Linked DNA regions of Canis lupus familiaris. The protein of the gene in region 1 purifies or fractionates together with the protein of each later gene. This does not show direct contact. Links are inferred from orthologs where the notes say so. Each region holds a gene or a part of one and is shown on either strand. Other genes may lie near its edges. The genes, in order: NF2 and AMOTL1.

Region 1 (4,252 bases):
CTTTACTGATCTTTTCTACTTGATGCAAAAATGTTCATTATACTTTCCTTCTTTAATTATGTTTTCCTTTAGGTCTGTGAGCATGTTTGTAATGCCTATTTGAAATCTTTTCTGCAAAATCTGACATCTGGTCACTCTCACAGGCAATTCTATTGCTAGTGTTTTTCCATTAAATGGTTCATAGTTCCCTGTTTCTTTGCAGGCCTCATAATTTTTGCTGGAAACTGGACATTTTAGGTAATACATTATCTAAATAATATAGATACTGTACTGGTTCTCCCCATCCCAGCCCCAGGGCTTGTTATTGGTTTGTTCATTTAGTGATGAGCTGGAATGTTTTAGTGAAATCTATCTCCTTCACATAGTGTTAAGGCCTATGATGTTTTCTTCAGAGAGGCACAAATTCAGTTATGGCCACAGTCATCCTTGGGTGTCAGTGGTTTTAATAGGGCTCTTTCTCATCCCCCTAATCACACCCAGCTGTTAAACTCCATTAATTGTGTTTTAGTCTTCTATTATTTTCATCCATGCCCTGGAGCATAACTTGCTCTACAAAGTAATCCAATCAAGGGTGGCTCTTTGGGGGGTAAAGTTTTTCAATCCCATGAAGGGCTCTTCCCAGCTGTTTTAGTTCTCTGATTCTCTACTGCAAACTAGCTGGCCTACCTTCTAGGCTGGATCTTCATTAAATCCATAACCTCCGGGATCCCTGGGTGGCGCAGCGGTTTAGCGCCTGCCTTTGGCTCAGGGCACGATCCTGGAGACCCAGGATCGAATTCCACGTCAGGCTCCCTGCATGGAGCCTGCTTCTCCCTCTGCCTATGTCTCTGCCTCTCTCTCTCTGTGATGACTATCATATATAAATAAAATTTTTTTAAAAAATCCATAATCTCCTCCCAATTGCCCTTCATCAAATCCTCCACTGTTTTAAGAGTTCCTTTAGGGATACACTTCTCCACATTTTGTTGCAAATGAAGTAACTGCCTTTGGGAAGAGAGCAGGAACTACAGGTTTTAAAGCCGCCTTCTCCCTCCAGGTAAAATCTCTGAGTCCTTGGCGGAAGAGGAAGGATTGGGGGAACACACAAGCCTGAAGTTTTCTCAGTTTGCCTTCTCTGGCATGGAACCACCATTGCACAAGCTGGGCCTGGGCCAGGAGTAACCGGGGCCCCAGTAGTCTCAGCATGCCATGCACAAGGCACAGCTCCCATTCTGTGAATAGGAGCTGGATAGAAGAAGTAAGCCCCATCTTTCAACTATACACATCTGGTACTTAGTCTCAGCAACAAGTAAGCTTATGCAGAATAAGAAACACTGAAATCCTGTTCCTCCTGGGAAAAAAGTGGTCTGACAGGGAGCTAGGGAAGAGGGAGCCCTGTGTTCTGGGTTACAGCAGTCTGGAGTGGAATCTCTACTCTGCTGAATTGGAAGTGGGGAGGGAGGTAGTAGCCTTGGTTCAAATACCATAGACTCTCGCCTTAGCAAATTTTCATAGATTTTCTCAAATAGCCCTTTATTCATTTGATGAATGTTTGCCCTTAGGACCATTTCCAGAAGGTTTAAATAGTTGAGTTTTTTGAAGTAATTTTTCCTAGTCCTCCAAGGGAGGTCAATGAAGCTACTCACACTGTCATACTAGAAGTGAATCATCAGGCTGTTTTTGTGCTATAATAGTAGAGCTGAAGGACTAAGTAGTTGTAACAGAGATCCTATGGCCTGCAAAGCTGAAAATATTTACTACGTGGCCCTTTACAGAAAAAGTTTGTCAACCCCTGACTTAGGTCACTTCTGTCAGTGCTGCTGGTTTCACAGACTACACTTTGGACTAGCAAGGACTTAAATTACATGAGAAGCAGTACTATTTTGGCTAAAAGCTGGACTTAAAATCCCACTTTGCCACAAACTAGATACATAGTTTGGGGTGCCTACCTCATTGGGTTGTTGTGAGAATTAAATGTATTAATGTCTGACTCTTACAACACATTCAACAAATGATAACTGGTATCATCATGGTGTAAACTGCATGAAAAATATTAGACATCAACTCTCATCTGAAATAGTTCACTTCCAGAAAATGGAAGCTTTTGGAAAAAAGGAAGTAAGTATAGATTTTCCAAAACACAAGACGCAACTTTTAATACCTGGGGCACATAAAAATATCTAATGAAGTAAAACAAACAAACAAACAAACAAACAAAAAAAAAACCATAGAGCTGGAACTTAAGCCTGACACTGAAAACCAGAATTTGGCCTTCCACGGACGCTTCCAGTAACAATGAATGAAAACCTGAATGAAGTGCTTCCAAACCCAAAAGCCCTAAGAAAAAAAAGAAAAAGAAAAAAAAAAAAAGCAGCAATTATCTTTAACATGAGGATTTGGGCCTAGATGGCTCCTTCTGGTTCTGGCTGGCTCCGTCTATGCTCAGAGATGATACGAGCTGGATCCCTCAAGCTTCCACCTTGACTGTCACCGCGGCAGGGGCGCCCCAGCTGGTGCCCGACCCACAGCGGGGCCGGGCGAGCGGGGATCCCGCCGGATTCCGCCCGGCGCCCGCTTGCCACAGCCCGTCGGGGTTGCCAGTCGGTTACCTCGCAATTGAACTCCATCTCGGCGTCCATGGTGACGATCCGCACGGTGAACGTCTTGGGCTGCTTCCTCTTGAGCGAGCTGAAGCTCATACGGGAAGCGATGGCCCCGGCCATGGCGCGGGGCTCAGGCCCGGGACCCTCGCGCCCCGAGGCCTGCGCTCTGGACCTGTTAGCCCCCCTGGAGGAGCCGCACAGGCCTCAGGGCCACCATGGTAGCCGACTGGCCCGCCTGGGAGCTGGCTGGTCCGCGCGGGCCCCCAGCGGCCAGCATGGGCCGTGAGGACCCTGCCCCGGGAGCGTAAAGAGGAGTTGGGGGGCGGACCCTTACGGCCACGGGGACGGAACACGAGCCAAGACCAAGCGGATGGGCTCTGCCCGGCGCTCAGGGTCTCGGGCCGGGGACGCTGGGGACGCCCCGGGACTGGGCCCCTAGACGGCAGCGGCCCAGCCCCCGCGCGCCTCGAAGCGGCCGACGGAGGTCTCGGGGCCGCGCTGCGGCCGGGCGCGCACGTGCGCGCGTGGCTGTCACCGTCCTCGCTCCGCGCGCCCGCGGGAAGCGTCCCCTCCCCACAGACCCCGGCCTGCTCCCCGCCCCGCCCTCAGGTCCCCAGATCATTACACGCAGCGCAACCGAACCCGGCGGCTGCCGCCCGGACACCGCGATTGGCTGAGAACCCCAGGGAGGCGGGACTTTTCCTGCCAGTCCACCCTACTTCAGAGGGACTCCACCAATCGGAAGTTCCGCCGTGATTGGAGGCGCGGGCCTGGGCTCGGCGTTGAGTGGCCAGAGTGGCAGTCACTCCGAACGCTTTTGTTCGCAGGGAGTACGCCTACTCTAGCAAGATTGGTTGAGGCAGCGGAGCCCGGCGCGCCTTCCACGGGCAACCACCTAGAGGCTGGCACGCGGCTGCGGGTGGGTCAGCGGGCGCCTGCCCTTCGGACTGAGTACGCGTGCAGTGTGGTACCCCAGAGGGCGCGTGTCGGACACCCGGCGGAAAGCCCTCCTCGGCCCTTAATGGCATATGCTGACCTCTGTGTTTCTCTAAACTTTTCAAGTCACGTGGAAGCTGCTTAGCTTGCTGGCACTCCCCCAGATCGTTCTGCTTCTCCCCGGGAGAAAGTGTGTTATTACCAAGGAAGGGTGATGATTGTACCTACCCCGTGGGGTTGTTGAGGAATTTAAGGACGTTAATACATAGAAAGCTTTAGAACGGTGGCTGCTGGCATATACTAGGTGGAATCCTATGAAATTGCTGTTTTTCATGAGAGACTCCTAACTCTGGGAACTGAACAAGGGGTAGTGGAAGGGGAGGTGGGAGGGGGGTTGGGGTGACTGGGTGACGGGCCCCGAGGAGGGCACTTGGCGGGATGAGCACTGGGTGTTATGCTAAATGTTGGCAAATTGAACTCCAATAAAAAAATTTTTTTTTAATTGCTGTTTTTATACATACACACAGAACAGTCCAAAAAATGAAAGCGTTTCTCATTTTGTATTCTGATTTCCACTTTCAAACCATAGCTGTGTTTTATTTATTTTTTAAATGTCATCAAGTTATAGTGGGTGTGTTGTGAGGTGGGGGTGTATATAGCTTTCTGTATTAAAAATATAAATCCTACTTTTAAGTAACTCTTAATAAGGGACACCTGGGTGGCTCAGTGGTTGA
Region 2 (4,546 bases), on another chromosome or scaffold:
TCCAAAACATTTCTTATATTTTTAACAAGTATGTATATTAAACTTACTATGCACCAGATATTATTCTGAACATTAAATATGTACAAACTCATAACTGCAATAGCTGGGCTTCCTATTGGTTTCTTTCTCTGGTCAATTTTTCTCTTGGTTTTGACCTTTATGTTATTTTTTCTTGGTCTGTCTGATGACTTCAGAATGAATGCTAGTAATTGTGTGTGGACCAAGAATGGTAGAGATATTTCAAGGTTCTAGATGATATTCTTTTTCTCCGGAGAGGACTTGCTTCTGAAGGCAATTGGGCAATACAAGGAAACAGCAGATGTTGGTAGGATGTGGATAAAAGTGAGAACTTCTTGCACTGGTGGGGACACTATGGAAAACCTTTTTCAGAGGTTTTCAAAAAGTTGAAAATAGAACTACCCTAGGATCCATTAATCACACTATTGGGTATTTAGGGGAGAAGCAGATCAGGTTAATCAATTTGAGATCAAGCTGATTTGAAATGTGCCTCAGTGTATGATGACTGGCATTTCAGGTTCATCTTCACTCCTCGTGTGTTGCTTTTCAGTGTGTTTTTCAGGGTCCTTCCACCCTGATGGGCTCATAATTCCAACTTTTAACTTTCCAAATCAAAGTGATTACTGCAGCTCTGCTCAGTTGCTCAGCTCCCATGCACCATTTCCTGTTCAGATTCTCGGCCTCTTAACTGCTACTCAGAAACCGGCAAATATCTGGAGGGAAAAATTCACTTCCAATGTCAGACCAACTTCTCTTTTTCCTTCTTTTTGGGACTTTGATCATTAAAGTCCTCACTTCTTTGTTCCTATCAAAGTGTATATATACACACACATTATAAGTAATTATAAATACTTTGAAAGTATATAATATATTGTAATACATAATTATATATAATTTTATGTTTATAAAATATGTTAGATATATCATATATAATTCTAAAGTATATATTTACATATTTATGTATCTATACACATATGTACTCTTAAATAGACATACGTATTACACCTTCAATATATGTATGTCTGGTTTTATAGTTCTGCTTTTGTGGTTGTTCTTAACAAAAAGGTTATTCCAATATAGTAGTCAGTCCCTTCTTATCTACAGGGGATGTGTCCTAAGACCCTAGAGGATGGCTAAAACCACAGATAGGGATGCATCCTATATATACTATGTTTTTTCCTATACATACATAACTATGATAAAATTTAATCTATAAATTAGGCGCAAGAGATTGACAACTGATAATAAAATAGAATAATTATAACAATATACTGTAGTAACAGTTATGTGAATGTGGTCCTTCTCAACATATCTTATTTTACTATACTCACCTTTCTTCTGTGATGATGTGAAATGAGAACATGCCTACATGAGGAGATGAAGTGAGATGAATGACATATGCAACTGTGACCTACTGTTAGGCTACTATTGACCTGACAATAGTCAGAGGAGGATTATCTGCTTCTGGACCATGGTTGACTAGGGATAACTGATACCATGGAAAGTGAAACAGTGGATAAGGGGGTAAAACTATACAAGCTGTCTGCCAGAGTTGGAAAATAAAGTACTTATCCTTATTTTATACATGACAAAACTGACAAGAATAACTTGTCAGATTAGTATGTTTAAGTGAAACAGTAAATACTCATCTATTTATTTTATTTTATTTTATTTTATTTTATTTTATTTTACTTTATTAGAGAGAGAAAGCACAAATGAATGGAGAGGGGAAGAGGGAGAGAGATAGAGAATCTGCCTAGCGCAGAGCCCAATGTGGGGCTCAATCTCGCTATCCTGAGATCATGACCTGAGCTGAAATCAAGAGCCTGATGCCTAACTTACGGAGCCACCTAGGTGCCCCATATTTACTTATTTAAAAAAACTTAAACTAACTTACTGAGCCACCTAGGTGCCCCATATTTACTTTTTTTAAAAAAAAGTATCTACTAAGCAGTCACCATGTATTAGACACTCTCCTGGGCACTGGGGATACAAAATTAGTCAGCTAGTCTTTGTCCTTCAAGACCTCAGTATTGAGTATTAAAACATCACTTATAATTCAATGTAGCCAGTGACACTATTGAGTAAGATATAGGTGCACCTGGAGCTCCGGTAAGGTAATAGGATGCTGATCCCTACCTCCTTCCCTGCAGAAATTTCTCTCTTAGTACACAGTGAACATCATCAGGTGGCTCACTTCACTTCTTTATCTCTGGTGCCCAACGCAGTGCCTGCAACAAGGCAGGTGTTCCGTAAATGCCTGCTGGATTGTGTTGAATTAATTTTCAAACAGAAAAGAAGGAAACTAGGATGGGAGGAAGGCCATAAGTTGATGGAAATTTGTTCAGCCTGGAGGTCAGGAGTCTCTGGTCCATCAGTTCCACCAGTAGCTCTCTGTGTGAACATGGCAGGTCACCTGCCCTGTCTGGGCCTATTTTCTCATCTGCAGATTGGACACGCTGGACGAGATAACACCTAAGGTCCCTTCCAAGCATATGTCCCTGTAGTGGAGTATGATCCCACAGAGGCAGAATGACCACAGCTCAACCCAAAGTTCCCTAGGAACCATTTAAGGGCTGCAGTACAGTCTGTCAGACAAAACCAAGGTGGCTGTTTCTATGCCTGTCTCCCTGTTTTCTCCTGTGGAAAAATGTAGGGGGATAGTTTTCCCGAGCTTACCTGGCCAATGCCAGAAGTCTTCTCATACCACACAGGCCAGCCAGAGACAGGAGGGTGAGGAAACACCTCCTACATCCTCTTCCGCCCAGCGTGCTGCGGCCAGCCTACTCTGTCTCCCACTTTTCCAAGCACAGAATCTGTTTTCCTGTTTGAGAAAATAGTTCTGCCTCTGTGGCAAGCACAATGCTTGTCCCAGCTAGAGCACGGGAAGGAAGCCAGTTCCCTGGCCTTGTTTGGCTGAGTGGGGATTCTCTTTGCAGACACCCATCTCCCCATCTCCCTGGGATCTGGACATTCTCACAAAGGCATCCAGAGAAACAAGTGGACACAGATGCACACTTGGCCCCGCACCCCCTAACAGAGCGCCTGCCTCCAAAAGGCTCTGTGGAAGCCTATGTACATTAGTACCAGAGCAACAACGATGGGTGTAGACATCCGGCTGGCTCATCTCCTTTTATGGGTGAAAGGCTGGACCCTGAGAACTGGTGGCCCTGCTGAGGCCACATTATTGATTTTCAGGGGAGGGCACAGAATCTGACGTCACCATCACTGCAAGATGGCCCAGCAGGCCCCCTGGGTGGGCAGCATGGCTTGATCTCACTACTGAATCACACGACCAACCTTCCAGTCTTTGCTCACTGCACGTCCTGCATGCAGCAGAGGCAGCAGTCCCCAGCCCCCTCGACCCCCCGGCCCGGTCCTCACCCCAAACACTGGAGTCAGCTGGAGGAAGCATTTGGGCCCAATTATGTATTTCCAAACAGACAACTCCAGAGGGAGGAGGAGGAGGGAGGAGAGGCAGCCAGGGTTGTTTGTGTGGATTATGCAGTTACTGACCTAAATTTCATACTGGGGGAGGAAAAAAAAAGGAAGAACTGCCTCAGGTGATGCTGACATGTTGGAGGAAGTGCTGAGGAGATGAAATGCCCGCCTGGGGTCTTTGAAAATGTTGTCTGTTTTAATTGGATGTGTCTCATCAGAATCGGCTGGTGGCAGGCCCATCACAGGCTTCTTTTAATCAGTGGCTTTCACATTTCCCCACTGAGGCTTCACGAAGAATAAAGAGCAATGGGGCCAGGGGCCGAGGTGGGGAGGATGGGATTCCAATCTGAAATATGATAATTTAGGAGCACGAGTTTATTTAAAATGGAATTGCCAGGCTCCTTCTGCTTTGTGCCTCTGCGAGAACATTTTGCTAAGGAGAAAGAAACTACTCTTCTTTTGGAGCAAGAGCCTGGAGTGAGCTCCTGGCCTATTTTCTTCTCTCTTTCTAGAATATGCATGTGTGTGTGGGTGTTGTTCTTTTCCAAGGTTTCTTGCAGCAGAATTCACTGCTGCCCAGCCCAGTGGGCAGTGGAGAAAAGAGAAGGATGAGCGCTTGTGGCTGAGGGTGGAGAGGATTTGACGCAGCAGGGGCCAGCCTTTGTCACAGCAAAAGTCAGGCAGGAGTAGAGGGGCCATTGACAGAATTACTGAGATAGCGAAGAAAATTGCCAATCGATCTTTGCTGTGAGATGAGTATGAAAAAGGAAGCTATGAGAACTCAGAGCAGGGTGGTCCATTTGCACATCAGGGCAGGCTCCCTGGAAGAGGCGACTGCTGTAAAAGTAGTCAGAGGAAAAGCTGAAGAATTACTTCCACACCAGCAGAGGAGAGTAGCAGCTCCTAATGGCTAAGCTTCAGGAAGTCAGAGGTACCAGAAATAAGAGGCAACAGAGAGTAAGACTCTGGAGCGTGACCATGCCCTGTAAGATTAAAATGGACCAGACTTCTGAGAGCCACCTGTCCTCTTCCTGCATGTCTTCCTAACTATTCTTCCCAACAGTAATCGGGGACATCCTCCCATGGT

What was found.
Region 2: the proteins of NF2 (region 1) and AMOTL1 purify together in Homo sapiens (affinity purification with mass spectrometry; 6 studies listed by BioGRID and IntAct, counting the BioPlex papers as one, with this or other methods). This does not show direct contact. The link is inferred for Canis lupus familiaris from reciprocal best matches to the Homo sapiens genes NF2 and AMOTL1.

What each region holds. Positions count from the first base shown.
Region 1 is NC_049247.1:23,221,997-23,226,248, reverse strand, and holds the start of NF2 (merlin), read right to left. Parts: upstream 3,073-4,252; 5' UTR 2,703-3,072; coding exon 2,589-2,702; intron 1-2,588. UniProt on the Homo sapiens protein: Probable regulator of the Hippo/SWH (Sav/Wts/Hpo) signaling pathway, a signaling pathway that plays a pivotal role in tumor suppression by restricting proliferation and promoting apoptosis.
Region 2 is NC_049242.1:6,356,507-6,361,052, forward strand, and holds the start of AMOTL1 (angiomotin-like protein 1), read right to left. Parts: upstream 2,851-4,546; 5' UTR 2,698-2,850; intron 2,250-2,697; 5' UTR 2,158-2,249; intron 1-2,157. UniProt on the Homo sapiens protein: Inhibits the Wnt/beta-catenin signaling pathway, probably by recruiting CTNNB1 to recycling endosomes and hence preventing its translocation to the nucleus.